Linked DNA regions of Rhinolophus ferrumequinum. The protein of the gene in region 1 interacts with the protein of each later gene in a biochemical or structural test. Links are inferred from orthologs where the notes say so. Each region holds a gene or a part of one and is shown on either strand. Other genes may lie near its edges. The genes, in order: COPS7A and COPS4.

Evidence for each region.
Region 2: the proteins of COPS7A (region 1) and COPS4 form a complex in vitro, tested with the Homo sapiens proteins (2 studies listed by BioGRID). The link is inferred for Rhinolophus ferrumequinum from reciprocal best matches to the Homo sapiens genes COPS7A and COPS4.

The regions. Positions count from the first base shown.
Region 1 is NC_046293.1:23,922,721-23,938,070, forward strand, and holds COPS7A (COP9 signalosome complex subunit 7a), read left to right. Parts: upstream 1-8,569; 5' UTR 8,570-8,714; exon of another isoform or gene 8,715-8,877; intron 8,878-9,199; 5' UTR 9,200-9,242; coding exon 9,243-9,404; intron 9,405-11,078; coding exon 11,079-11,154; intron 11,155-11,382; coding exon 11,383-11,471; intron 11,472-12,447; coding exon 12,448-12,650; intron 12,651-13,319; coding exon 13,320-13,425; intron 13,426-13,588; coding exon 13,589-13,740; intron 13,741-13,896; coding exon 13,897-13,936; 3' UTR 13,937-14,767; downstream 14,768-15,350.
Region 2 is NC_046288.1:37,914,613-37,930,700, forward strand, and holds the start of COPS4 (COP9 signalosome complex subunit 4), read left to right. Parts: upstream 1-9,022; 5' UTR 9,023-9,594; coding exon 9,595-9,668; intron 9,669-11,413; exon of another isoform or gene 11,414-11,497; intron 11,498-16,088. UniProt on the Homo sapiens protein: Component of the COP9 signalosome complex (CSN), a complex involved in various cellular and developmental processes.

The DNA.
Region 1 (15,350 bases):
ATATTCTTGTCAGTACTTAATATTTTTCAGACTTTAATTTTAGCTATTCTGGTGCATACCATGATATTTTATTATGGATTCAATTTGCATGTCTCTGATGATGAATGAGGTCCAGCACCTTGTCAAATGTTTGTTGACCTTGTGGATTTCCTCTTGTAAAGTGGTAGTTCAGGTCTTTAGTTTATATTAATAATTTTTATTGTTAGGGTTTTCTTATTCATTTGTAGAAGTCCTTTATACATTTTGGACATATCCTTGGTCAGTTAAATATGTTACAAATGCTTCCTTCTATTCTGTGGCTTATCTTTTGATGAACAGATGTTCTTGATTTTAATGTAGTCAAATTTATCAATCTTTTCTGTTATGGTTAGTGTATTTGAGTCTTAAGAAATGTTTCCTTACCCCGGACTCATGTATATATTTTTCTATATTATCTTCTAAAAGGCTTTTAATTTGTCTTTTACATTTAGTCTATTGTATAGTAGGTAATGATATTTGTATATGGTTTAAGGTAGGGGTTTTGTTTTATTTTTTTCATATAGACACTCAATGGTCACAGCAACATTGAAATGTGTTGCTCAAAAGTGCAAACTCTCATAAACCAAGTGTCTATATATATGTGAGTCTGTTCTTTGGCTCTGTATTATGTTCCAGTGATCAATTTATCTATCTTGTGCCAATACTATCTCAATTTTTATGATTTTGTAATTATATTCTAGTATTTGGTAAAAAGCAAGTCTTTCCATCTTGTTCATCTTCAAGAGTCCATTCTTGTCCTTTTGCATTTCCATGTAAATTTTAGAATCAGTTTGTCAGTTCCACTCAATCACAAAGAAGGCTGTTGGGATTTTGATCAGGATTGTACTGAATCTATAAATCACTGTGGGGAGAATTGACTTCCTCCTGATATTGAGACTTTTAATCTATGAACATGATAATATTTCTCCATTTATGTTAGGCCCTCTTCAATGTCTCACAACAAATTATAATTTGCTGCATATAGGTCTTACACATATTTTCTTACATTTATACCTTGGTATTTGATATTTTTCATTCTATTGCAAGTGGTAACTTAAAATTATTCATCATCTCGTTGTTTATATAGAGATACATAATTGATTTTGTACATTTTTGTCAAGAAATTTTGTTAAGCTCTTTTTCTAATAATTTATTTGTAGATTCTTTTGAATTTTCTACATATGCTATCACATTTTCACACTTTCTATAGATGGTAACAGCTTTGTTTCTGTTTTTATGTAATCCTTCAACTTTTCTTTTCCCCTTTTCTGACTCTGGCCAGGATCCCCATTAAAAGACTGAATAGAATTGGTGATACCAGGCATTCCTTTATCAGATTAACAAGTGCCCTTCTAGCTTTCTAAAAGATTTTTTGATCACAAATGTTTGTTGATTTCATCACGTGCTTTTTTGTATTTATTGAGATGATTCTGTGATTTATTCCTTTAGTCTCTTAATGTGATGAATAAAATGAATGCATTTTCTAATATTAAGCTACCCTGAAATTCCTGATATAAATTCAAGTTAGTCTTGGATTTTGATCTCTTTTGCACATAGCTGGATTCAGTTTGCTAGTATTTTATTGAAGATTTTTATATCTTTCTTAATAAATGAGATTGACCTATAATTTTCCTTTCTAGTATTGCCTTTTCTGGTTGGCTTATCAAAGTAATTCTGGTCCCATAGAATGAGTTGAGGAGTGTCCTTTATTTTCCTATTTTTCAGGAAAAGTTTGTATAAGGTTAAAATGATCTGCATTTTGAAATTTGGTGCAGCTTGCCTGTACGACGTTATTCTTAACCCTTTCTCCTCTCACACCTCACATCTAATCCATTTGCAAATTCTGTTCACTCTAGCTTTAAATCAAATTCAGAACCCAACCACTTCTCACTTCCATTGCTACCACCACCATCTCTTGCCTAGATAATTGCAGTAGTTTCCTAATTGGACTTGTTACTTCTGTCCGTGCAGCCATCATATTTTAAACATATGGGTGGTTATATCCCGTTACTCCTCTCTCAAATCCTCCCTTGGCTGCCCATCTCACTCAAAGGAAGAACCAATGTCCTTACAATGGCCCACAAGGTCTGATATGATCTGGCTTGTTCTCTCTCTGGTCTCTTCCACTACTTCTCTCATTGCTCACTCTGCTCTAGCCATACAGGTCCCCTTGCTGTTCTTCAAATACATTAAATATGTTCTCATCTTTGTACTTGTAGTTTGCTCTGCCTAGAACACTGTCCTCAAAGAAATTCACATGACTTGCTCTTTTTTTTTTAAGGTCTCTGCTCCATTGTTACCTTATTAGAGAGGCTTTTCTTTATTACCATATATAAAACAGAAAACATCTCCATCTCCCTCTTGTTTTTCTACATAATATTTATGTATATGTATATTTATGTATTTATTGCCTGAGTCTCACCAAAAAAATGTAAATACCAAGAGAGCAGGAATTGTGTCTATATCTCTAGTAGATAGAACAATGCCTGGCAATAAGAGGTGCTCAATATATACCTTTTGAATCCATGATGAATATTTTATTTATTATGTGTCTGACACCTTGAATGTCAGTCAGCCTCTCTGGATTTATTTAAGTGCATCTTGTGTTCTATCCTTAGCATTAAAAACACAGCACCTGGAGCAGCCGATGGCTCAGTTGGTTAGAGCGCAAGTTCTGAACAACAGGGTTGCTGGTTCAATTCCCGCATGGGATGGTGGGCTGCGCCCCCTGCAACTAAGATTGAAAACGGCAACTGGACTTGGAGCTGATCTGTGACCTCCATAACTAGATTGAAGGACAACGACTTGGAGCTGATGGGCCCTGGAAAAGCACACTGTTCCCTGACATTCCCCAATAAAAATTAAAAACAAACAAACAACAACAAAAACACAGCACCTGGCACATGCCTTGTACACAACTGTCACTTAGTAACAAATGAATGAACGATATATCCTAGGTTATGTTTAAGTTTAATTAGCTTCCATCCTCCCCTTGGAGATCTTTACTTTTCTTCCCACTTTTCCCATTTCTACTTCTTTCTTACATCTATTCTTCCTCCTCTTCTGTCTCTGCTCTTTCTGATCTCACTTCTTTTGTCTATCCCTCTCCTCTCTTTCTCCAAATTCTCCTTTTCCACTTGTTTTCTCCTTTTCTCCTTTTCCTCCTCTTTTTCTCACAGAACCATAAAACATCAGAATCAGAATTGGCCTTGGGGATTTTATTTATCTCTCACTTTGCAAACATGAAAGAGGAGATACCACAGATGACACAATTTGCTTTAAGGTCACAGCTAGTTCATGGCTGAATCAAGACTAGATCTCAAATTATCTCTTTCTTCTTCCTCTCTTCTTTCTTTTTTCATCTCTTTCTTAACACAGTGTTGGAATCCGACAAACTTGCATTTGGATCTCAGTTCCACCACTTATACTGGTGACCTTCAAATTATTATTATTATTATTATTATTATTATTATTATTATTATTATTATTATATTGGGGAATATTGGTGAACAGTGTATTTTTCCAGGACCCATCAGCTCCAAGTCAAGTCATTGTTTTCGGTCTAGTTGTGGAGGGCGCAGTTCATTGGCCCATGTGGGAATTGAACCAGCAACCTTGTTGTTAAGAGCTCACGCTCTAACCAACTGAACCATCTGGCCGCCACAACAAATTAACTTCTGTGATCCCTGGTATTTTTACAGGTTAACTGAGATATTAATATGCACCTCAAAGGGTTGTCATTAAAACTTATAAAAAGTTGAACAACAACAATAACAAAAATCCTATACATCTAACATCATAATTAATGGTGAGAAACTCAAAACTTTCTCACTAAGATCAGGTACAAGGCAAGGCTGTCCCATCTCACCATTCCTTTTTGACATTATACTGGAAATTTTTGCTAATGCAATAAAGCAAGAAAAGGAAATAAAAGGTATATAAACTGGGAAGGAAGACATAAAACTGTCTTTGCAGATGATGTAATAATTTATATAGAAACTCCAAAAGAATCAACCAAAAAAATTCTTTTCGAACTAAATAATAAGCAATTATAATAAGATTGAAGGATGCAAGATTAATATACAAAAATTAATTACTGATATGCTAACAATGAACAAGTGGAATTTGAAATAAAAAATGCAATACCATCTACCTTAGCACCCCAAAACTGAAATACTTAAGTAGAAATCTAACAAAATATATATAAAGTCTATATAAGGAAAACTACAAAACTCTGATGGACAAAATTAAAGAAGAAACTTTAAAAATGGAGAAATAATCCATATTCATGGATAAGAAGACTCAATATTGTCAGGTTCTTCCAAACTTGACCTACAGATTCAATGGAATTCCAATCACAAACCCAGGAAGTTATTTTATGGATATCAACAATTGATTCTAAAGTTTATATGAAGAGGCAAAGACCCAGAATAGCCAATACAATATTAAAAGAGAAGAACAAAGTTGGAAGACTGACACTACCTGACTTCAAGACTTACTGTAAGGCTATAGTGATAAAGCTAGTGTAGTATTGCCAAAAAAATAAACAAATAGATCAATGGAACAGAATAGAGAGCCCAGAAATAGACCCCCATAAATATAGTCAACTAATCATTAACAAAGAAGCAAAGGCAATACAATGGATCAAAGATGGTCTCTTCAACAAATGGTGCTGGAACAACTGGACATTCTCATGCAAAAAAAATGAATCTAGTCACAGACTTTGAATACACACACAACTTTCAGAAAAATTAAAGTGGATCACAGACCTACATAGACTGGGACATGTAAAATGCAAAACTATAAAACTCCTAGAAGATAACATAAGTACAAACCTAGATGACCCTGAGTATGGTGATGCCTTTTTTAGAGACAACACCAAAGACATGATTGATGAAAGAAATCATTGATAAGCTGGACTTAACTAAAATTTAAAACTTCTGCTCTGAGATAGGCAATATCAAGAGAATTAGAAGACAAGCCACAGACTGGAAGAAAATATTTGCAAAAGGCAAATCTGATAAAGGACTATTAATCAAAATATGCAAAGAACTCTTAAAACTCAATAAGAAAACAGACAATTTGACCCAAACAATGATTTCACCAAAGAAGATATACAGACAGCAAGTAGGTATATGAAAAAATGCTCCACATCTTATGTCATCAGGGAAATGCAAATTAAAACAAGATATCACTACACACCTATTAGCATGACCAAATTCTGGAATACTAACAACACTAAAAGGTGGCCAGGATGTGGAGCAATAGGAATTATACATTGTTGGTGGGAATGCAAAATGGTGCAGCTACTTTGGAAGACAGTTTGGTGGTTTCTTACAAAATTAAACACACTTACTCATGACCCAGCAATCACGTTACTTGGTGTTTACCCAAAGGAGTAAAAAACTATGTACACACACACACACACACACACACAACTGGACATAGATGTTTATAGCAGCTTTATTCATAATTGCCAAAACTTGGAAGCAACCAATATGTCCTTCAGTAGGTGAATGGATAAATAAACTGTGGTACATCCAGACAATGTAATACTATTTGGTGCTAAAAAGAAATTAGCTATCAAGTCATGAAAAGACATGGAGGAAACTTAAAGTGAAAGAAGCCAATCTGAGAAGGCTACATATTGTATGATTCCCACACTATGATATCCTGGAAAAGGTAAAACTATGGAGACAATAAAAAGATTAGTAAGAAAAAAAAAATATTAGTAGGTATCAGGAGTGGGGGGTGGGGAAAGATAAATAGGCAGAGAACATAGAAATTTTAGGACAGTGAAAATACTCTGTGTGATATTAAACGATGGATGTATGTCATACAAACCCACTTATTGTACACCACCAAAAGGGAATCCTTTGGTAAACCATGGATTTTGGATGATTATAATGTGTCAATATAAGTTCATCCTTGGAAAAAAAAAAAGTACCATTCTGGTGAGTGATGTTGATAATGGGGGAAGTTATGCATTGTAGTCACACAGCAGCCTAGCCAACTGTCCCCCCGTGTCTTTCCTTAAGGAAAGAAGAGTCTGTAAGACTGTGCCTTTCTGGGACTCTGTTCCATCCTTGTGTTTACACCTTATGTCTCTCTGTCCGGTCCCCAAAAGATGGTTTGCAGCCAAAGACATAAGATACCTCATGGGAGATACAACCTAAGCCAGGCGGAACCGAGTGGGGACCCCTAATGAGCTGCCTTAGAGAAATATGAAAAGGGGCCTTGCCTCCCCTTCCCCCTGCCTGGGAAAGTCTGTTGCCGGCTCTGGCTTTTCCCTTGCACCTGTTTGTGAGAAAAATCATGAAGACAACAAAGATCAGTTCTCTCACTTATCTCAATGGAGCTGTTACAATATGAGAGACTTGACCCTAAAAAGGTACATACCTTAGGTTAGACATCATGGGACCTTGTGCTTCGGCTGTTTATAGACAAAGGGTGATTGGAATAAACATTTTTCTACTATGATGTATGAGTCTCACAGACCGTGTAAGAAACAATGTTACTTTCTTGTGTTTGTATACCTATCAATAAAAACCTTCAGTCAGCCTTATTCTGGGCTCCAGCCCTCTGAGACTGACAGACCCCTGGCCTTCTGAGAGATTTAACTGCATTAAGTCTCCGTTTGTTTCTGTCTTAAAAACTTAACGCAAACCGCCCCTTCTCGCACCCTCACTGCCCTTGTTGCGCTGGATGCGACAATGCATGTGTAGGAGCAGGGGTTATATGGGAAATCTCTGTTCCTTCCTCTCAATTTTATTGTAAACCTAAAACTACTCTAAAAAAAATAAAGACTTTTTTAAAAGTTTTAAAAATAAAGACCTAATAGAACATAATAGAACATAGTTGGCTCTTTTCTCGTTCTTTCCTCATTTTTTTTCTTTTCCTCTTTAAATTGATAAGATTGAACTCATAATTCTTTGGTTCCTTCAAACTTTGGATATTTTATTATGTCTTTGATTTCTTCTCACTTTTATGTGTCATCTCTTCCATTCATTTCTTCTTTCTCCTCTTCCACCTCTTTCTCCTTCTTCTTTTTCTTCTCTTTCTCTCCTTTCCTATTTCTGCTTCCCATTTTCTTCTAGAAACCACACCATGTGGACCATAAATTTTAAGTTTAAAGTCCCTTCAGCTGCAGTAGTCTACCAGTCTTATGATTTTCTCTTATTTACTGTCCTCTTTTTCCACGTTCTCCTCTTTCATTTACATATAAATTACTTAACTTCCTTGGCTCTCAGATTTTCAATCTGGAAAATGGAAACAATAATAGGTTGTTGTTATAAGCATCAAACGAATTAAGTAAAGCTCTTAGCTCAGTGCTTAACACAAAAGCCTCCAAGACGTCATTAACTTTTATTCTCATCTGAACTTCTGCAAACCCGGTATGAAATATAAAACAGTATAGAAATGTTAGTTAATTTTTTTCCCCTAAAGTATCATGGTGAGCTTTCTGTGCTCACACTCGTCGTGGTGGCACCAGGTGCTCCCCCAACGTGCAGAACGACGCAGGCGAGTTCGTGGACCTGTATGTGCCGCAGAAATGCCCCGCCAGCAACCATATCATCGGCGCCAAGGACCATACATCCATCCAGATGAATGTGTCTGAGGTTGACAAGGTGACAGGCAGGTTCAATGGCGTTTAAAACCTACGCTATCTGTGGGGCCATTCACAGGATGGGTGAGTCAGATGACTCCATTCTCCGACTGGCCAAGGCTGTCAGCATCGTCTCAAAGAACTTCTGACTGGAGAGAATCACAGATGTGGAGTATTTGTCCTAAATAAATAGTGACCCTCCCCCCAAAAAAAAGTATCATGGTGAAGTGGAAAGATGATTTCGGGTTTGAAAAGACTTGAACCCCAGTTTCCTCATCTGTAAAACGATAATAATACATGCCTTCCTTACACCTAGGTTTTTTTCCTCCCCAAAGAATTAAAAGAGTCAATGTTCAGGAAAGCATCACTCTATAAGTACATGTTGTAATCAAGATAGATGGTGTCCAGGAGTCACACTAGGGACGCTGTAGTTATGAGGATTCAATGGGATAAAATTTTAAAAGATGCCTGACTCAATACATGTAAGTTATTTACCTTTTCCACTTCTTTTCTCTTGCTCCTCAAAAAAATGAGTGGTTGAACTACCCAGATGATCTCTGCTGCTAAACTTCTATTATTGATATGGTCTCCTTCCACTCTCCTCCTCAAATCCCGCTTCCCGCCCCTCCCCCCTGTTTTTCCTCCTCTTTTCCCATGACAGCCTTCCTCTCGCCTCAGGGACCCCCGTGCAGCCAGGTCTCCAGATTTCTGGCAGCTTGGAACTGACACAGAACCACCCGGTACCTGCCTGAGATCAGAGGTTCTCTCTACAGTTAGCGTCTAGCGCTGGCCAACAATAAAGTTTTATTGAAACAAAGCACGAAAAAAGCGCCCGTCAGTCTTTCCTCAACAGTCAATCAGAGAGTAGAATGCGTGTGTCGCTCACAGCTACTTCAGCAGTCGGAAGGCGAGAGCGAGGAATATCCCGCCCCAAACCCGCCTAGTAAGAGCGGAAGTGCGGCCGGAAGTCATCCATAGAGTTTAGTGGCCAGAGCGACCCTGCATGGAGGTGGCAGGAAAGGCTCGGAACAGCTGCCGGAGGTGACGGAGCGACGGTCCCGCCCCGTGCTCTGGAAGACGAAGCTTCCAGGTAGCGGCCCGCAGAGTCTATTCCAGGGTACGACACAGCAGTCGGCGGGAGCCCGCGGTCCCGGGGCGGCCTCTTTAAGGGAGGGGGCGGAGCCACGTGGAAGGATCTTGAGGGTGAGGTCACGTGGTTGGGGGCACCTGCGGGACACAAGTGGAGATACGAGGTAGCGTCGTCACTGGGATGGACACCATGTGACACCCATTCCCCCACTGCATCTTGTGCTTTGGGGTTCATTGGGGTGCATGTGGTGGGTTTTGGGGTTAGGCCCAAGTGTGGGAGGAGGGTGGGCGTGGCAACCTTGTATCAGCCAGGCTTCCATCAAAGTGGCCCCGTATTAGGATTCCGAGGTCCGAGCTTTAGACTGCTCCGTCTCTGATTCCTCTTTGCAGAAGTGACTCGGTGCCTCTGCAATCAGCCCCTAGCCCTGTGCTTCCCATTCCCCCACTGTTTAGGGACCTCCATTTTCACATCCTCTTTCCTTTCAGGTCCAGACATCCTGAGCCCAAGTACCCCCAGCTCAGTGCAGCCATGAGTGCCGAGGTGAAGGTGACAGGGCAGAACCAGGAGCAATTTCTGCTCCTGGCCAAGTCGGCCAAGGGGGCAGCACTGGCCACACTCATCCACCAAGTGCTGGAGGCCCCTGGTGTCTACGTGTTTGGGGAACTGCTGGATATGCCTAATGTTAGAGAGGTGGGTCCTGACCTGGATAGCCCACAGGGAAGCTTGGGGCTAAAGTTTGAATTTGAGAATGGGGGGGCAGGGCTCATTTTGTAACCCCATAACCATTCAGTTGAACAAGAATAGGATGATGATTAACTGGCATCTTGCAAGAGTACTAAGTACACAAGTAAGCCTCTTAGTTTCCCTTTGAGGATAAGTGATCTGTGAAACCCGATATTCTTAAGCAAAAGAGCCTGTTATTCAGAATAGGAGACCTGATTCCAGCCTGTCTCCACCAATGTAATAGCCCTTAATAATCATGTCACCTTGATCAGGATACTTTTATTTTAGGGGCTCAGTTTTCTCTTTTAAAAATGGAGCTGATAATGCCCCCTCACCGTTACTATAAAAATCAGATGAAATTATGAGAAAGTGTGAAGTCGGGTATAAATGGAAGGAATGTAACATGAGATTGGCATGCCCTGTACTCCCCTCTTTGCACCATATGCTAATTCACTTAAATTAGATCAGGTAGAAGCTGTCCTTTTTCATAAAGACATGTGGCAAGATGCTAGAAACACAGCATAGAGAACTATTCACACAGACGTGGCAGAGTTAAGAGTTTAAAATCCAGGGTGGGTGAGTCGCCAAGATATATGACACCAGCCCAAGTCCTGAGATGCTATGACAGTGGTATGTGGGCAAACTATGAGTTAAATTGTTGAGGGCCAGTGATTGAGTCAGCGGATTTAGCCTTCTGGGATCACTCTGTGGTACGGAGAAAACTGGCTGCCTTCTTTCCCTGCTTTCCTCTGCAGTGGAACTAAAGATATTCAGTCAAGGTGAAGAAAAAGCACATATTGTATGTATATTTAGCACTCTGCTAGTTGTCTGGGAATGCCAGAAAAGTAAGAGACAATAGAGCTTATCCTTCTGAAACTTACTTCCCAGTTACAGAGATCAGACGAATGGATATACATGTACATATCATTTATTTAGCAAGTATTTATTGAGAGAGCCAACTACATACTTAACTCTGCTAGACCTAAGTGGGATACCAGAGACTAGGTCTATAATCCTGTTGGAAAGAAATACATTCTTAGGTAACAACCTTAGGTAGGGTTTGATTGAATAAGTGCCAGAATGAGTGATCAGTGATAGAAAAGGAGATCTAGGTGGGCTGCCCTGGATGAGAAAGCCCCCTGGGTGAGGCAGGTCTGAAGCAGAGGCCACAAATTCCAATGACTGCCTAGGCCATGTAGCTGTCAGAGATGAGTGAGGCTGAGGCAGGAGTCTGGTGAATAGGGGAGTATAACAAACTGCCTAAAGATAATCAAACTCACAAATATTAAACACACTCTAAGGACCAAACAACACCATTTGCAATGTTGGGTGTGTGTGTGTGTTAGATACTGAACGCTATGAATGTTTTAAACTCTGAATTTAGGGTAGGAATTGGGGGCATATGGAGGAAGAGGGCATTGTAGGTTTGGGGGAGCAGTGTAAGCAAAGGCCTAGCGGTGGAAATGAGGCCTTCCTATGGGGAGAGTGATGAAAGATGCAGACAGTTCCTCTCAGTGAGCTGGGAGAGTTAATGGAGACGAACGATGGGGCCAGAAAGTGGGGTTTGAAACAGGGAAAGGCTGGGAGGAGGTGAACAGAGAGGCCCTTCTTCCTGTCATCTCTTCCCTCATATTCTTGCAGCTGGCTGAGAGTGACTTTGCTTCAACGTTCCGCCTGCTCACGGTGTTTGCTTATGGGACATATGCTGACTACCTAGGTAACCAGAGGGCTGGAGCTCTAGAGTAGTGGAGGTGGGAGAAGGGCATTTTCTGGAGGGACTTAGAAGTTCCTGGGGTACCCTACTTAGATCCCTTAGGTACACAGAGTCTTGGGTCAAGCCTGAATTGGCATGGACAACTGAAAAAAAAAAAAATCAGTGGAAGGAGGCTAGGCCTTCCCACAAGAAGGGAATCAGAATTTCCTATACTTTGTCCTTTTTTCCTAGCTGAAGCCCGGAATCTTCCCCCGCTCACAGAGGCTCAGAAGAATAAGCTTCGACACCTGTCCGTCGTCACCCTGGCTGCCAAAGTCAAGGTGAGTGATAGTTCCCCCAGTCCTGAGCCAAAGAGCATCCTTTTGTATAGCCCTTCACAAGGGCCTGTCTGAAGAGAATTTGTACTTGGACAGCCGTTGACCACACTGTTGCTTCTTTCTGCTTTCCCCGCCATGTCCCTCCAAGGTCTGTATTTGAACTCCATTACCTGCAGCCTTTTAGGCTAAATATTCTCTTAATTTTCTGTTCTTTTAATTTTTTAATCAAATTCTAAACATCTTTAGTTTTGGGTCCAAATAGCAACTAGGATGCCATTCACTGTGTTGTTCAACAATCACCCTCCTCCCCATTATAGAAATTCCCATCCAAACAGCCTCCACGCTCAGAGCTGGGAACACGGTTCTGTCTGCTGGTGGAATACTAGGCTTCTATTTCCTAGAATAAGAAATAATGTAACCTGGAAGTGTCTCTATATTTCCTGTTAGGTTTGGTTTTTCGTTAAATATCCCCCTCCCGCCCATCTGCACTCTCCCAATTGTTACTAGGCTCTCCCGTTGTTTTCATGATTTTACTTAAATCAGGCTCTCTATTGTGAGAAGCCTCTTTGGAAGTACGCAGTGTGTAAATGGTGAACAGTAACTCCGGACCTCTCCCTCACCACACACTCCCATTATGTCAAGCTGATCTTGACCAAGGTCTGAGTGCTACCTTGAGCTGTGGCCAGAGGATTGACACCCACGTAGAGGTCACTTTCTTCCTCTGTGGTGTGGGAGGTAAGGATGGGAGGAGAGCATAAATCTTCCATTTTAAGATTGTCCTTCTCATGCTATTATTTTTCAGGTGGGAATACTTTTATTTATTTTGCTTTAGAACCAACCTTTTAGAAGACATATTTAGGAGTAGGAGGGGAGGGTAGGCAGGGGAGCCTAGGCTGGGGAAAGGAAGGAAGAAGAATGTTGGAAGCCTCTCTCTGCAGCAGAACCTCACAAATCCCAGCCCGACCTCCCTGGGCCCCAGTGTATCCCATATGCAGTGTTGCTGGAGGCCCTTGCCCTGCGTAACGTGAGGCAGCTGGAAGACCTTGTCATTGAGGCTGTGTACGCCGATGTGCTGCGTGGCTCCCTGGACCAGCGCAATCAGCGGCTAGAGGTTGACTACAGCATTGGGCGGGACATCCAGCGCCAGGACCTCAGTGCCATTGCCCGAACCCTACAGGAGTGGTGAGACCTGTGTCCTGGCATTGTCCCTTCTCTTCTCACCCCAAGAAAGGGAGATGTGCTTTGGAGGCGTGAAGGCTGGGCTGGGCTGCAGAGGTGGAATCCAGGTGGATGAAGGGAAATGAGCTTGTTCCTCCAAAGGCTTCTCAGAGAGGAAAGGAGTGGAGGAGGGGTTGGGAGGCAAGAGGCAGGAGATGGTGTCCTTGGTATAGTAATTGGGGGAGGGAAAGGGGAGTGGTACTCTTAGAGGATCCTCACTGGGAGGTTGGTCACCTCTTAGGCTGGATTCAACCCATTGATCTGTAACCAGCATTGATTGTCCATAGGTCCTGGACCTCTTCCACTTTGGCTTTTCTCCTTGTGTCCTTCCCTAACCTTAGTTAATTCATACACCTTTTTTTTTTCTCTTTAGCTTCTCCTATCCCATTTTGTTTTCAGTTCCTAATCCCATCTTATACATCACTCCAGGTACTTCCTTATAGCTCTCTTCTCCTACCTGAGTGTCCTTCTGGCTCCTGGGAATATTGTTGCAGGTGGTTTCCAGGTGCCCTGGTGAGGGTTCCTAACTCAGAAAAGGGTTTGGATACCAGGATCTAGGGTCCTTTCTGAATCTTTTTTTAGTGAGTCTGTCATCACAGCTCTCCTGCTGCTTCTCACTCCCGATTCCTGCAGGTGTGTGGGCTGTGAGGTAGTGCTGTCAGGCATCGAGGAGCAGGTGAGCCGTGCCAACCAGCACAAGGAGCAGCAGCTGGGCCTGAAGCAGCAGATTGAGAGTGAGGTGAGTTGGCAGGACAGCAAGACAGACCCAGGCTCCTGCAGCCTGGGCCAGTTGTCCAGTGCAAAGGGGTTTGGACAGGGGCTGGAGCAGACAGGCAAGGTGGGCAGGGACTGTCAGGTTCTGGAACCTTCCTTGTTATCTTCCACTCCTTTCATCCTGGCAGGTCGCCAACCTTAAAAAAACCATTAAAGTTACAACAGCAGCAGCAGCCGCAGCCACATCTCAGGACCCTGAGCAACACTTGACTGAACTGAGGGAACCAGCTGCTGGCACCAACCAGCGCCAGCCCAGCAAGAAAGCCTCAAAAGGCAAGGGGTAAGCCAATGTGGCAGGACCTGCTTGCTTCCAAGGTGCCCTGCTTTTCCTTCAGAGACCTGGCTGCCCTCACTCCCTTTAGTCATGGGGGTAGGGGATGGGGGCGCCTTTAGGCATTTGGGGAGTCCCTGCAGCCTCTCTGTCTTCTCTTGCCAGGCTCCGAGGGAGTGCCAAGATTTGGTCCAAGTCGAACTGAAGGGACTGTCGTTTCTTCGCTGGAGATACGGGATCCCAGCTGTCTGCCTGCCCCTTAGGAGTCCTCAAAGAGCCTTCCTGTGCCCCTGGCCAGCTGATAATCCTAGGTTCATGACCTTTCTTTCACCTCCCTTCTTCTCTTCCCCAACCCCAAGCATAGATCACCCCTTCTCTAGGGAGGAGGCAAGTACAAGTCATGTTTTTGTTGGTACTTTTTGTTTTATGTGACTTTCTTATGTGTCCCATTGTCCTACTTATCTTCGCTGCCATGCTCTCTCCCGTATATTTTTAAGAGCCAGCATGTGTCCTTGTTTATTATGTGTCATTGAGTAGGTGGGGCTGCGATGCCTGCAGTATAACCCACATATGTTCCTTGTTGTACCACCTCACCCCTGCATGCCTAATCCCCAGTTCTGTTCCCTACCCCCAGCCTATTTGGGCAGCATCTGCAGAGCCACTTTTATTCCCACTCTGAGAGTTCTAGGAGCCAGTCCGCCTTTGTAGGAGTCACTGGACACTTTCATCCTAGAATTCTGTCACACGACAGTTGTTTCCTTTCCTCGCACCTCCCCTTGGGTCCTGGGAATGCTGCTGCTTCAATGACCCCAGAGCCTAAGAAGGGTAGCTGTTTCTTGAGATGTTGAGAGATGCTTTTTTCTTGGCGCTGGCTATCTTGGAAAGCCTGATGGCAGTCTTGGAAGGATTTATACTTCCTTTTGTGAAATTGGTGGGGAAGGGAAAGGGATATAGATTGTATAAAAAAAGTATATATACATAAATCTATATATAACATAACACAGAAATAAATCTATGAGAAGTCTATCTACAAACATGCCCTGAACTGGGTATCTTCTGTCTTTGATATTTGTGGATGGGAAGAAGGTTCATTCCCAATCCACTCTAAAGCAAAATTTTGGAAAAAGAAGAGAATCAGATACTGTGTGCTGAGTCCTGGGCTATATGACTTTGGACAAAATGCTCAGTATCTCAACATTCATTTAGAAGTAGTGGATACTTACTGACACCAACATGTAATAGGCACTGGAGATGCAAAATGATGGTCATTCCCTGCTCTCAAGGAGCTTGACTTCAGCCTGTTTCCCTCCACCTTATAGAATTATAAGGGGGAAGAGTTGCCAGTAAACTTGAGGTTTTACTTCACAATCACACAGAACTCTCAGATCTACAGTAAGAAGCAGGAGTCAGGATACTGTCTTTTGCCCAAGGGAGAGCTTCCCTCGCAGTGTCCTGAGACGATTGATCTCCTTGGCTTCGTGGGTTGCTGTGCACTCCCTAGAATTGGGAAGCTCTAGTGTAAGGGACTGTTGAGCACCTCACTTGCATGTGAAGCAGTTGCTTTCTAAGGGTCCCGGTGTTGACTGAGCTGCTCTCCAGAGTTTGTGCTATTCTGTAGG
Region 2 (16,088 bases), on another chromosome or scaffold:
GCACAGTTCTAGAGGAAGCAACAGACAATAAACAAGTAGAAAAAAATAGACCTTTAAAAATAATGGGGGAAATATCGATAGAAAAAAACGAAAAGGTGGTGGTATAGAGGAATGAGTTGGGTAGGCCTCTCCATAGATAAATGTATTACTGGGCATCTATTGTGTGCCAGGCATACTGCTGGTTATAAGCTAGTGAATAATATTTTCTTAAACTAGGTTAGTTTCCAAAAGATTATTCAGAAGTTCCTTTGTTCATGAGTCCATTTGTCATTAAGTCCAGTTTTAGTTAGGCCTTCTGTGTTCTTGCCACTCAGAGAGGGTCACTCTAAGCTCTTGCCTTTTTCCAGCAGTGAATGCTTGTTACTTGGTGCTTGCTAGACTGATTGTGGGGATGAGGGGAAGGAAAACAGCTTCTCTGCGGTGGGTCCTGTTCCAACTTCATTCTTGGGCAGGCTCTGGGTCCTTGGGTCTCCGTGGCCCTAATCCTCCCTCAGCATTATAACCTCTAATGGTCTGGGCACAACAGTTTCCAGTTCTCTCCCAGGATTCAAGGTTTTTCCCCTTTTTCCTATTCCTCCAGCTGCAATGGGTCTCCACATGTCCTTTGGGGAAAAACAGGTTTGTTGCCTTCCTCCATCAATGGAAGTCTTTTGTTCCTTGGGGGACAAGGTCTGGGCGTCTTGTTGCCTTTCTTACAGTGGCAGCCACTCCTCTCCTCTAGGACTTTACCACCCAGCAGCCTGTTTCTGTCCGCCACCCTACTCCAAATCTTTGTCCTTGGTGCCCCGTGGAAGTCCCTGGAGAAGACCCTGGGAGTGGATGTGAACTCCCCTTATGATTGTGCCTCCCATGGGGTTCCCTGCCAGCCCACACTCCGTCTTTAGCAATTTATTTTAAAATTTAGCAGAATTCTTCTTTCCTGTTTGTATGGCTACACCATCTTCCTTCCCAAGCTCTGCCACAGATAACCCAGTGCTTGCATCTCATTTGTGTTTAGAAGCACCTGTCTTTCCTTAGGTTTCAGGCTAGTTGTTGCCCTGTGACCTCAGCTCTTTGATTGGCTCAGAAAAAGTTATGATTTTGTACATTACTTAGATTATTGTGGTGGTGGTGAGAGCAATGCTTTTTCCAGCACTCTATACTGAGGCAGAAGCTGGAACTCCTCCAGGTGTTATTTTATTAAGAGAATCTGAGGGTCTCTATTGTTGAACCACAATTCTCATCCCAGTTTTTACCCAGCATAGTCCTTCTACTTAGTCTCCTAATCCACCTCTTTCTAATTGTCTTTGTATTTCTCAGAGCTCTCGCTTTTCACCTCTCTCTTTCACTTTTCTCTCCACTTCCAATTCAACTATATGACCCCACTTGAAACATGAGTATATGGGAGCCAGCAGACAGACACAGTGGGCAGTAGATGGCATGAGTGAAGCGTAAGGTTACAGTGAATCTAGAGATCAAAAGGGAAGAGGATCAGAACACACTCTTGAAGAAGGAGAAAGTGTATGGACCTCTAAGGGGAAGAATAGGACCTGGCTGGGCACTGTTCTTAAGAGGACCTGCTGGTCATCCTGACACCAGAGGAGCTTTGGGGAAGCAGAACCATTGTGTTGAAACTTCTCTTCCTCTGAGGCTGGATAAGCATTAGCCTTTGAAACCACTAGAGAAGACAGAAGACAACTTAAATCATAAATAACATATAAATACATAAATAAAAGCACTTAAGAAGACTAAATTCAATATCTATACACGAGACTATGGAACAAAAAGCATAGTTTCATTCCCTTTTTAAATTGAGGTTTTACATTTAGTGAAATGCACAGATCTTAAGTGTACAGTTTGATGAACTTTGATAAATATATACACCCATATAACCCCCACCCCTACCAACATATAGAACGTTTCTATCACCTCCTACTACTTCCCAGTAAACTGTCACCCTTCCCAGACAATTTCTGATTTTCTATCACCATAGACTAGTTTTATCACATTTAGAACTACATGTAGATGGAACCATAATGTCAACCTCAAAAATAAAATAGCCAATTATTTTACTAGCAAATGAGTTTATTCCTGAATAAACTCATTTGCAATTCAGGACAATCAAGCTATGGCAAACCATAGGCCAGTCCAAGAATATTAAATGGAAAATTCCAGAAATAAACAATTCGTACATTTTACATTGTGCACCATTCTGAGCATCATAATGAAATCTCGTGCTGTCGCGCGCCATCATGCCCAGGACATGCATCACCCCTTTGTCCAGCTTATCCAAGCTGTATACGCTATTGCCCGTTAGCCACTTAGTAGCCATCTGAGTTACCAGATTGACTGAGATGGTTCCACAGTGCTTCTGTTCAAGAAACTCTTACTTTACTTAATAATGGCCCCAAAGAGCAAGAGTAGTGATGCTGGCAATTTGGATGTGCCAAAGAGAAGCTGTAAAGTGCTGCTTTAGGGTGAAAAGGTGAATTCAGTACAATAAGATATTTTGAGAAGAGAGACCACATTCACATAGCTTTTATTACAGTACATTGTTATAATTGTTCTATTTTATTATTAGTTATTGTTGTTAATCTCTTACTGTGTCCAATTTATAAACTAAACTTTATCATAGGTAGGTATGTATGGGGAAAAAAAGGGTATATATAGGGTTTGGTACTATCCCCTGTGGATAGGGGGGATGACTATATAAATTTTTTATGTCTGGCTTCTTTCACTCAGTATAGTGTTTTTGATATTCATTCATGTTGTTCCATGTGTTAAAAATATATAACAAATTCAAAATGGACTCGCTTTTGACAAGCCCCACAAAGCCTTTACACCTAACCATACTGCAGTTTCAGCCTCTCCCAGGAGTGGAATTTTAAACAAATCAGTCTAGATGGAATTCCCTGGTCAACACTAGTTAAGTAATCTGCTTGATAAAACTTCCCCTAAGGGAAGGTAACCTTGCCTGAAATAATCCACTCTCCTTACTTTCTTGTCCACCCTCTTTCTGCCTTTAAAAACCTTCCACTTTGTAAAACTCCTTGGAGCACCTTTCTAGTTGCTAGATGGGATACTACTTGTATATCCAGGTGAACATTTTTTTAAACACGTGTCTGTAATTTTTTTCTTTTCAATGCTAAGTAATATTCTAGTGAATGAATATACCACACCTAGTTTACCCACTTTCCTGATGATGAACATTTGGGTTGTTTTCACTTGGTGCTATTATAAATAAAGCAGCTATAACATTTTTACAAAAGTAAACATATGAAAATCATGATTTTAAAAACACAACATTGAAGATATATTGCAGGAGATTAAATCTTGCTAAATAGTGGAAAAGTCCAAATAGTGGAAAAGATATCTCAAATCACAGAGCAAAAAATGTAAAGAGAGAAATTATGAGGCAAAGGCAAGTCACTTTGAAGATAATCCAAGAGACCTGATATATGACTATTTGGAGTTTCAGAAGGAGAGAAAGGAACAGGTAAAAGAGAGGTCACAATTAAACAAATAATAATAAAAAGTTTCCCTGAACTAAGGACAGACTTGCATTTGCAGATGAAAGGGGTCATGGAGTTTCAGCTAAGATCAATGAATAAAGACACACTTCGTATCTGAGGAAAACCACTGTAAAGAGATCTTAAAAATTTCCAGGTGGAAGGAACAAGTTACCTATAAAAAGAAGAAAAACAAGAAGAACAAGGAGGACAGGGAGCTGGGGGAACGAGAGGAGGAGGAAAAGGAAAGGGAGAAGTAGAAAGAAGAGGAAGTTGTGGAAATAAACACAGAGTGACCAAATGAGAACAATTAAAGGCTATTTATTCAGAGCTTTTCATAGCAAGGGAGTTGGCCACCATCACCTGTTAAACAGTGAGGCAAAGGCAGGCAGAGGAGTGGGAAAGCTTTGTAGTGGTACAAAGGAAATTCAGGTACGCCCTAATTAGAGGCTGTTGGCATGGGGAAGCTGTCAAGCAGCCTTAATTGAAGTGGGGCACCCTATGTGATTGGTTAGGGGAACATACTTGGCTTTCGCTGGTGGGACCTAAGTTAGAAGTAGGGGCAAAAATTTGGGAATCTGTCAGTTATTTATGGAGTAGTTGACATTTTGGGCTGATTGCTACAGTTGTTTGGCTTCCTGGAATGATTGCTACAGATTGTGGGTCAGAGCTTTATTTTTATATATGGTCTTGCCATTTCTGTTTGCATATTCAGTCTCTCAAAGATAAGAAAGAAAGGGAGAAGAAGGGGGGGGGGGAGAGAGAGAGAGAGAGAGAGAGAGAGAGAGAGAGAGAGAGAGAGAGAAACAGAGAGACAGAGAAACTGGCTCTGGACTTTTCATCTAAAATCCTAGAAGCTAGAAGACTGGAGTACCATTTACAGTTCACTGAGGGAAAAAGACAGCCAGCAGCTCAGCGCAAATCTCATTCAGCTGTCAGGATGATAGGAAGATATTTGTGAATATGCAGATTCACAAATGTACCCATGCACAGCATCTGAGGGATCACCTAAGAGTGAACACTACCAGACAATAAAACAATCAGAACAGAGACCTCATATCAAGACAGGGAAGATGAAGAAAAGGGAAATTTGTGGTGAGTAATTTCTTTAAATGTACACAGCAATGTAAGTAAATAATGACAAGGTCACTAGGAATTATAATAACACAAGTAGTAAATTAAGGATTGCTAAAATAGACACATTGCAAAGGAAAACCAAATACTTGGAGAAATGGAACAAAAGTACCAATTTTTCTTAGTGAAACCTAGGAATTATGTGGTGATAGAGGGGCAAAAGTAAGTATGTTCTAAAGGTCTCAACTAGGAGTGAGGGGTGGGGAATTAAAAATATTATGAGTCTCATTTATTGAGGTGTAATAAAGAGACAATGGGGGACTAAAATGTCTAGAAGGGAGGAAATGGCTGAATACCTGTTCTCACATATTATTACAGAAAAAGTGTTTGATAGTGAATATCAGAAAAGGGAAAGTAATCACTAGTTAAATTGAAAAGATGACATACTTTTATTTAAGCCTTAATACACTTTTCACACTAGTTAAATTTAAAGGAAAATGATACAGGACATGAAAGAAACACCCAGAATATGTGGCAGAACTCAGGAAAGAATTAGAAATAAAAATAACATTTTAGTAATGAAGATTAAACTAAGAGGAAACCAGGAGTAAATAAAAATGGCAGGTGGTGTCTTAAGAGAGTTAAAAAGGAAGACATTTTTTAAAATAAAAAAAGATGTGAAAAAAGAAATAAAAAGATTTTGAGGAAAATGACTAATATTAAAGCTAGGTGAAGAAGATCTAACATATAGATAATAGTAGTTTCTGAAGAAAGAAACAAAAAGAAGAAGTACAAAAATATAATTAAAGATAATGTTGTTGAAAAAAATTGAAACTACATATTGAAAAGGCACACTGTGTACCTGAGAAAATCGACCGAGAATGACCAACACCAGCATATAGTCTAGTAAAATTACCTGATATTAGAGGAGGAAAAATTGGGGAGCATTAGGCAAAAAGAGTAAGTGATTTATAAGGGAAAGAAAATTAGGCTCTCATGAGATATTTTTCAAAAATGTTTTATGTCACAAGAATATGGAGTGCCAGCCACACTTAAGATTCTCAAAAAGTGAATCAAGGTTTATTATATCTAACAGAACAGATTTTCAAACATAAAAGGCACAAGATGTTACGAACATACAGGAACATGCAAGAATATGGTCTTCATGAGCACTTCCTGAGAAACCTAGTAAAGAACTAGCTTCAGACAACTAAGATGGCTAGAGAGGTATCAATATAAGAGCAAATGGTGAGCATTAAATATGTATTACTTATAGAACTAAGATGAAATGAAGAAAGTATTGTTTTAATGGCTGTATGTGCTCATAATATAGACATACTAGAATTACAAAAATGAGAGGAAATGGGGAGAGGAATAGCAGGAAAATATTGAATTCTTTTCAGCAATCATATTGGGGCGTGGTAGGTATTAGTATTGTTATGCTGAGGCTGTTGTGTGTATAACATGGAATGAATGAAATGAATAATTATGAAACTTACTGATTCTCTAATCCTCTATGTACTGTGAACCAGGATTCTGGATGTACAAGGAGATATAGTTGTAATACACAGGAGAGGTTAAGTAAAAACACTTAAATTAGATTTGGAGTACCAGTATGAACTCATGAGTTATTTCATCCTTAAAATATGTATATATTTCCTAGTTCTGTTCTATGAAAATTTCCCCAAATGACCAATACAGTAGCAATGAGAATACCTAGCACTAGAATGCTATCTGTAAATATCAGTTCCTAAGAGGAACTAAAGAAATAAGGGCTTCTTGGAGAAATGGCTAATTCTGGGTCTAGGCTAGGAAACACACAAGATCACTCTAAAACAAATTTGTTACACAGCACTAACAACATGTGGAATAAACGTAGAGTAAGAATTAGTGCTTAGAAAACAGCAGAATACATACACTCACCTATGTTCTTTTTTCTTCTCCAGCAAGGCATATACGACCTGGACACATGGGACTTAGAATGGAAGATGAGCTAGGAAAAGGACCCCAGGATGACTTCCGTTGCTTGTTTGGGGGGCAATTGAGGGGATAGAACATCTAGTTGAATATGTAAAAATGGGAGTTTCCTAGCCAGGGAAATGGTGTTATTAGACAAGAGTTTAGTGAGGAGAGCTGCTATACCAGTTGTGTTGGCATCTGCTGGAGCAGTACTACCCAAATTTTAATGTACAAGGATTACTAGAGGGATTTTGTTAAGATGACAATTTTGACTCAGTAGGTTGGGACTAGGACACAGGTTTTGAATAGTACAAAGAAGTAAGATTTGTGCACTTTCCTTCAGTTAATTCAGATATGCCTAGCAACTTCTTGCTAAGCAACTGAAAAGATGGTTAGAATAAGCTTCCATCTGGGTTTGTTTTTCTTCACTGCTATAAGCAAAACCTAAAAATAGGTACTATTCTCTTAGAGGTTGGGAAGAGGTAACTAGTGGTCCAGAAAGGGGAGGCTTTGTCATGTTGAAAAATTATCACATTGTTGCATACATTAAGTAGGAAGGCAGAAAACATCCCTAACTTGTAGCTCAAGTGGAGTTATCTGTTAAGAGCCAATTTGTGTGTGTGGCTGCTTCTTTTTGCTTTCAGCAAGGAATTACAAGTGAAGTTGGGAGTCAGTGTAAAAAGGGAATAGAATGTCCAGAAATTCTGGGGTTTCACTAAGTTGAAAAAGGCAAGTGCTTATGTACCCTTAAATAGCAGAAGAGAAGACATTGCTTAGAGATTTCTCATAGCCCATTAAAACTTTTTGGCAAACACAAATAAAAAACAACAAAAAATAAAGATAAGCCGAAGCAAAAATCAAATTAATAGAATTCTCTTCTCATTTAAACCTATTGTTTCAGATGATTTCAAGGCTGCCATCATGAAAAATATTAAGAATGGGTTGAGTGTGGAAGCTAGGAAATAAGGCAGGTTTAACAACTACGTCTAGAAACAACTTTGGTTTTGGTCTTGGCACCTGAAACTGTCTGGAAGCAAACTGGGTTTACTGAACATTCAATGAAATTATATTTTTTTTGAAAAACCAAACACTGAGAATCCTGGCCTACAAAAGCCTCCAGTTGTTCAAGCCCTAAGGCATTCCCTCCAAGAAGAAATACTCTCCAACACCCTGTTAACCTGTACTGACAAAGGTTGAGCCCACAGAACACAATGGACAATAGAGATCCTCTCAAAGAGCAGAACTACGGTTTAACCGAGGAACTTATTCCACTACCGGGGTAGTGGGTGTTCACATTACTGCCCAGAATTCCACTATTGCCACAGACAAATAACTGCTGTTGTTTCCTATTTACTTTTTCAGAGTTTTGACTGTGGTTATTCTGTTCCTGTTCCACTATTGTTTTGTGTTACAGGTATGGACATGAAGCAGATAATATATTTTATAGTTTATATGTTTCTAGACCATGAAAATCCACATTCTAATTAATGGAGAAGACTGTGCATCATCAGACATCCTGGATTTTGAACTGATATAAAAACTACACTTGATCTTAGCCAAAAGGCTGAGAAGCGATCTGATATAGAAACTGAATGAAAAATTGAACTATCTTCTTTAGGGGTGACAGTGTTCTGTAAGGAGAAAGATACACATAGTTATTTAGGTGGTCAGAGGGACAAACTAGTAGAGACTGCTGATTGTCCTTCTAAAGCAATCCTTTCCTTTTTCCTGGGCAAAAGCCTGCCTAACTGGAAATTAAATTTCCAGTCTCATTGTTGCTAGGCAAGTGCACTTGATGTAGTTCTTGCCAGTGGAGCAAGATTTGAATTGATGTGGGCAACCTTCACATTATTTTCTTACAGGATTTCCTCCTTCTGGTCTTCTTTTCTTACCCTTTTCCAATAGAGGGATCATGTTATTTTTTTTACATATCAAGATGGCAAAAATTCAAAAGTTTGATATCCTTTGTAGGCAAGGCTGTAGAGCATTGCATTCCTACATACTGCTGGTAGAAAGGCAAAAATGGTAACATCCCTATAAAGTGCAATTTGGCAATATTTATAAAAATTATATCTACCGTTTGACTCTCTACTTAGAATATATTCTACCTGTACACATGCAAAATGATTCATGTATAAGGTTATTCATACCAGCATTGATTGATTAAAAACAATTTAAGTGTCTAGCTCTAAGGATTAAATAAACTATGGCATCCCCTCATTATATGTAATATTCTCCAGCTCTAAAACAGAATGAGGACGCTCTCTAGACTTATATGGTAGTATGGTCACCAGCAAAAGTGAAAAAATCAAGAGCAGAATAATGATGTGGGGTGACATCTTTTATGAAAGCAAGAAAGGAGAAAGACTTACATTTATTTATTTGCTTGTATTTGCAGTATTCTGTGGATAGATAAGTAATGAATACAATTACATATAAAGATAGGGTGACTGTATAATTTGTCATCCAGGTGGTACTGTTTCTAGAGTGAAAGGACGTGTTATTAATAATTACTCCTGGACAACAGATGGAAAACGGCACTGTCCTGGACAAACTGGATGTATGACCAACCTATAAAAAGGATATAGAGTAGGAGGGGGGATGTGGACATTTTATATTGTATTTTACAAAAGAACTGGGCTGTGATAAATTGGCAATAAAAGCAACTCGTTCTTTACCACAGGTAGTTTAAGAGCTGCCTGAAAGAACGAGGAACGGTAAACCACAGAGGTGAAGCACGGAACACAATGAAGACGCGGTGGTTCTGCGTACCCGGCACTTACTGGAGTTGCACAAGTGACACACTATGAGTTCGTCCGCCAATCCGAACTGCGAGCGTGCGAGCTTGAGCCTGCGGGAGAGGCCAGGGCGGGCTCCGGACTTGAAGAGTGGAGCCTTCGCGTCACTCAACCCTGGGGGCGGACGTAGCGCAGGCTCACACACCCGGCGCTCTGGCCCACACAGACGTTACTCTATGGCATCTCGGGTTCCCTCTGGCTGCGCTCTGGAGGACTACACTCGTTTTCTTTTTGGCTGTGAGAGGCCCGGCAGCCTCGGCTGAGCTGGAAGAAAGATGGCGGCAGCCGTGCGACAAGATTTGGCCCAGCTCATGAATTCGAGCGGTTCTCATAAAGATCTGGCGGGCAAGTGAGTATTTCCCAAGGCCATGGGAGGTGGGGAGGGAAGCCACAGACTTGTTCCCCTTGGGTTGACGGAGGCTTTCGGATGTGTGGCTAGGAGCAGCCCTGAGGATCAGGGGGGCGGGCCTGAGGTCGGTTGTGGAGGCAAATGTTGGGTGCAGCAGAAAGCTGGAGGAGTCCTCGTGCAGGGAGCTCTTGGGACCATAGACCTAGGGTGACTGTCAATTTGTTCAGCGCTTGATAGCTGAACTGGTCTCTTAAGATTGTGGAAGCGCGGTCTGAGGGACGACTGCTCCCACGGCCTTCTCAGCTTCCCTGGTGCCTTTCTCCATCGCTGGCTGGCCTCTCACACCGAATTCTGGCACCTCTTTGGACCTCTTTTTTTTTTTTTTTAAATTGAGGGAAATTTATATTCTGGGAGCTCGATGCAGAGTTTTTTAGGGAGATGGCTTCTTGAGGCTCTTGGGCGTTGAGGAGGTATGGCCGCTATCATGTCGTCCGGAACCACTCGGATCATCTTCTGTGGGTTCTTGTGTTTTGGGTACTCTCTCTCTGCCACCAACTCTGAAGAAGGGCACATGGTCGGAATGTCCTTAAAATATGGGTCAGGATATCGAGAGTAGTGATGTTTGTAGGAATCTGGATTGGTTAGGAATTTTGTCGAAGTTTGTGTAGATGGCTTATTAGCAAGTTAAAATTCGTGACAATTGCCTGCACTGCAAGCAGTTATTCAACAGTGCTAATCATAGATAGATAGAGATTGTCTATTTCTCTTTGTAGATTTCACATTGCTGTCCTTTTATAATGAACATGCATTCTGTTTAAAGTATGCATCTCAATTTGATCCTACGTAGTATTTACATCCTGACAGCTGAGATCACTTTGATATATAGGATACACCTACTCTTACCTGACCATTGAAACCTTGACTGTGTGTTATGTGGGCTTTGCTGCCTTTTCTCTGGTGGTAAATGTAATCTACTTTTATCAGTAGGAAATTTTGCCGTGTATCGTAGGTTTTACTTCCTGTGGCAATTTCCCCCTCAGGAAAATGGGGATAATTAGAGGACTTATTCCTGTCTGAGGACAAAATGAGTATGTGTGTATAAATACTTATATCACTTAGCACAGTACCTGACACTTAGAAAGTGCCACAAGATTGTCACTATTATTATTATTAAGCAGTTAATAATTACATATTGACTTATTCTATAGGTTGAAAATATGTTGAATATGTCTTCATGGCTCAATCCTTTTTGCATTTTTGCAAACCAAATCCTTTTGCAAACCTAATTTTTATAGGTTTGGATGAAAGTAAAACTAGCTTATATTTTTTTCCCATGCTTGCTTTCTTTGTTTTCTTGAAGAAAATAAGTGCATTAGTTATCAGAAGAGATGTAGTTTTTATGTATTTGCAGAATTCTGAAACTTAAGCATTTAATTCCTCAGTTCTAATTGCAGATAAACAATAGTACCGATCTTATTGGGTGCTTCAGTTATTTATTGCTGTGTAACAAACCAAAAACTTACTGGTGTAGAATAACTATTATTTTTTTAGGATTCTTTGGGTTGACTAGACTGTTTTGCTGGTCTTGTTTGGGCTCACTCAGACAGGTGCAGTTAGCTGGCAGCTCAGCTGGGGCTGGTGGGGCTAAAATGGACTCACATACATATATGGCTGTTGGCTGGGTCTCTCTCTCTCTCCACATGGTCGGTCTTTCATTCAGTTGTTTAGCTAAGGCTTCCTTACAGGACCAACAAAGTGAGAGTGGAAACTGCCAAGACCTCTTAAGGCTAGCCTTGGAAGTCTTACAACATCACTTCTCAAGTACCAAAGTAAGTAACAAGAGCAGCCCAGATTCAAGGGGAGGGGAAATGGAGTTTACCTTTTTATGGAGGGAGTGGCCAAGTGACATTGCAAAGGCGCTTGGTCAGAAGGAGGCATAATTCATTGGAGGCCAAACAATCTATCCCATGGAGTTCTGTGAAGATTAAAAGAGATAATGTGCTTGATAACTGATAGCCAGTGCTTTCTGAGGAAAGTTTCAGCCTTGCGTGCAGGTACATATCTGGTTCTATGTGGGCAAGAACGTGTCAGGATATTTATTTTAGTAACAAAATAGTTCTGCCAGCTACATGCTTTATGAGAATAACCCTCATGAAATATAGCAGTAGTTTTGGGTTTCCATTAGGAGTTGAGTAACATAGCATTCCATATTAAGGAATGATGGAGAAAATTTGTTTCTAAAATATTGATACTATGTGTTCCCAGCAATTAACAAGATATCTATAACAGAGCAGTCATTCAATAAATATTGTTTGATTCAATACATATCTAGAAAGGTGCAGGACTAATATTTGAATCCAGGTTTGTCTACTCTAAAAAGCACATTTTTAATCTACCAACCTCTACTGCTTTTCTTGCCAAAACTTCAATTAGAAATAGTTTCCCATAACTGTGATTTAACACAACAGTGTAAAATTGATATAAACAAATGGCCATAGGAGAAGCATTTTTGCAAATTTTATAGGCTGCTTTTGTACATATATGCATTGTGTTCATTTTCTCAAAAAAAAGCCTTAGACAAGAAGGAGAGGAAGAGAGCCTTAACAGGGAACATTTGAGTAGATAGCTGTTGTGATAGCTTGTCTTATTCACTTAGCTAAAACCTATTTAGTTTTTCAAAACTCAGTTCAGATGTTACTTCTTCCAAAAATCTTCCCTAAACAACCACTAACATAAACTCAACCACCCACTCATAGGACCTGGTTAGTTGCTCTTATGCTCAGTGGCATCCTATATTTCCCTGTATCGTAGCGCTTAATTGTTTGGTCTGTTTACTTGTTTGCTTCTCCAGTTAGAATGATTTCTTTGAGGGCAAGTATGAGGTTGGATTATAGGTTTTTGTTGAGTTAATCTTATAGAAATAGAACCTTTTATATTTTTCTTTTCTTTCCAGTTTTGCAGTATGGAGGGTACTCAGAGGAAGCTATCAGACCTTTGGAGTCTAAACATTTCATTTTATAAGAAGCTGTTAGCCTGGAGAAAGGGAAGTAATGGGAGACCTTTTAGTGCCTTTGACTAATAGAAAAGCTGTTTTACAGGAAAGAAAAGAGACTCCTCTGCTTTATAAAAGTAGACTTTGGATTAGAGTGGAATAAAACCGTCAAAAAATGGAGGACACACACACACACACACACACACACGAAACAGAACATATAGACGATGTGCGTATAACCTCGGAGGCCCCTTCTAACTCAAATTCTCTGGTTCTTGTTCCCACACATAACAGTTTAGTGGTTTCCATCGCAAGAGTGAAGTTCCCTAACATCTAATGTTTACTCTGTGCCAAGCACAACTTTACTGACATTTTTAATGATTCTTAAAAAGTAAGATTTATATTACATATGAGAAAACTGAAGTACAGAGGTAGAATACCTTGTTCAAAGGCCACATAGCTAGCTAGTGGCAAGGCCAGAATACAGCCCGCTTGGCTCATAGCCCTCACCTCTAAACACATCTGCCTTTTGGCCTTATATTATTTTCACGAAACTGGATTGCATTTCAGATGGTCATTTTTTTTTTTCTTGCCTAGCATGCCTGTCTTCCCCCACTCTTTCTCACTTACCACGAAGTTGAGATATTTAGAATGCTTAAAGATCAACCTCTTTAGGAAATTATTTTTCCTAAAAAATTATATTAGCCCTTACCTGTTTTTAAGATTTTGTCTTTTAATATTCTGCAACTTCATTTTGATGTGTCTATGTGGATTTTTTTTTACTTATCAATATTAGTTTTTGTTTTGAAATAAACCACTGTAAAACTTAGTGGGTTAAAACAGTAATTTATTTAGCTCATAGTGCTGTTGGTTGGCAGTTTGGGCTGGGCTCAGCTGGACGGTTCTCTGCTCCACATGGCCTGGGTTCCACGTGGGCTCGAACATGTGCCTGTAGTCAGCTGCAGGTCAGGTAGGCAGTTCTGCTTTTGCGTGTTGGCTGGGGCAGTGGAGATGACTGCGCCACGCGCCACATACTTTGTTATCCAATAGGTTAGTCTGCTTTGTTCATGTGACAACAGCAAGGTGCCAAGAGATAAAGACGTATGTATGGCCTCTTGAGGTTTAGATTCAGAATAGGCACTTCACTTCTCCACTCTATTGGTCAAAAGTAGCCCAGATGAAAGAGTGCGGAAATAAACTACCTCTCAATTGTGAAGAGCTACAAAGTCACATTGCAAAGGAACTTAGTACAGCAAGTGAAAGAGTTGTGGCCTCTTTTTGTAAATGCTCTACTGTATTATCCTTGTTGAGCTTCACTGCATTTCTTGAATCAATAGATTGGATTATTTCATTGCCCTGGGAAGTTTTCAGCTGTAACTCTTTTATTATTTTTTTACCCTTTTTATAAATTAGTTTCAGGTGTACAAAACAGCGTAATTGACCTGTACACCCTTCACAAAGTGATAAACCACCCCCCCTCAGCTACAGTTCTTTAAATGTTGCCTCTGTCCCATTCTGTTTTCTCCTCCAGTGTCACCTGTTGGCCCTCTTACTGTGGTCTCTGTCTCTTACCCTGTCTCCTATACTTACCATGTCAGTGCTTTATTCTGGATAAGTTCTTCTGACCGGCTTTCTAGTTTATCAGTTCTTCACATGTGCTGTTAAGAACACCATTGAGTTTTTAAGTTTGATTATAGTATTTTAGTCCTACAGTTTTTCGTAGTTCTTTTTTCAAATTACACTTTTTATGATTCCCAGTTTCTTGCTGAAACTTTAGTTTGTCTTTATTTCTATAAACATGGTAAACACAATTGTATTATAGTTTTTCTGATAACTAGTATCTGGAGTTCCTGTTTGTTATTGCCTGTCGCTTTTGTTGATTCTAGTTCATATTGTCATGTGCTTTGTAATCTTCATTTGTTAGGCCAATTATTTAAAAATGTATTTTTAGAAACAATTGGAGGCCTAGGATGTTACCTTTCAGGGAGGATGTTCATTTCCTTCTGCCAGGTAGGTACCTGGGGATGCTAGCCGTCTAGGTTCCAAGGCTTCAGAATTTTTTGATTTACCTAGGTGATCCTTGGAATAGATTTTGTAATCTTATTTCCAAAGTGCCAGTGTTTCCTCCTTTGGCCAGCAAGGAACTGAGATCCCTGTTTTTCTGGTATAGCTCTCTTCGTTGGCCAGAAATTGCGACTTGCTTCTCTGTTTTTCCAGCAGATGGCGGAATGCCTCAAAGCAGAACCCACCTCCTTCGCCCCACCAAAAGTGCCACTCTACCTCTCTGTCTTGCCACAGTCAGCAAGTGCTTTCAGGCAGAAGCTATGATTCACGTCTTTATGCTCTCACTCTCACCTGTTTTCTCTTTCTTGTTAGGATTTTATGCTGTTTGTTTTTTTATATTTCTTTTAGCTTACTTTTTTTTTTCTTTTTTTGAGGTAGGATTGGTCTAATCACCTAGTTCACCGTTACTGTAAGTGAAATATCTTGTTAATACATGCCTAAATAGTGACTGGGATACATTTTCATGTGTATATGTTTTATTTACCTCCAGATTCCTTTTAAGTGCCAAAAAATCAGGATTGACATACTGAACTGGAGTTCACATGCATATATATTAAATGCTCAGTAAACATTTGTTGATGATAAATGGATAAAACAGATATAAGGTGCCTTAATTACTGAAATTTGTTTTCCTCCATATTTCTTAAGGAAAAAATATTTGGTAGTTGTCATGTTCTCCATATCAATTACTTTTCCTTCTTTTCCACTGAGTATATACTGAGTGCTCAATAAAAAGCTATTGTTATTTTCTGTGAAACCTCCTCTGACTAATCTAACCCATTATGGTTTTACTCTCTTCTGAATTAAGATAATTACTTGTCATATCTCTTACACTGTTCAGTTTCATTTTAACTTTTGTTTTATTGTAATTTAATACTTGGTATATTATTTTTTATTTCCCAGCGATAAGATCTTCAAAGTCTAAGGTTATTTGAAATTTTTTTAGTGTCATACACAGAATCTCATATAGCATTTTAAAAAGCCTAGGTGCTCAGCATTTTTGGATGATTTTTATATGGCAGTATTAAATGGCTATTTAAATCCCTGATTTAAAATAAGTTTTTTAGTCATTCTATATTATTATTGTGAAAAAAGTAAGTCCTCGTTCTTAGGTACTAGAAATTATGTATTAGAGAAGGAGCAGGGTAGCATCTAGCCCCAACTCTGTACCTTAATCTATAAAAGTCAAGAGTTTGAGTAGGCAATTTCTAAGGCCCTGGCCAATTATACAATTTGTTACTATAAAGCTTTCATTACTTTTTAGATTTATTTTGGTGTGTTCCCAGTACACATTAGTTAATAAGTTATGAAAACTGTGTTATTAAAAACTCAGGTTAATCAGCAAATTTCTATAAGTGAGACAT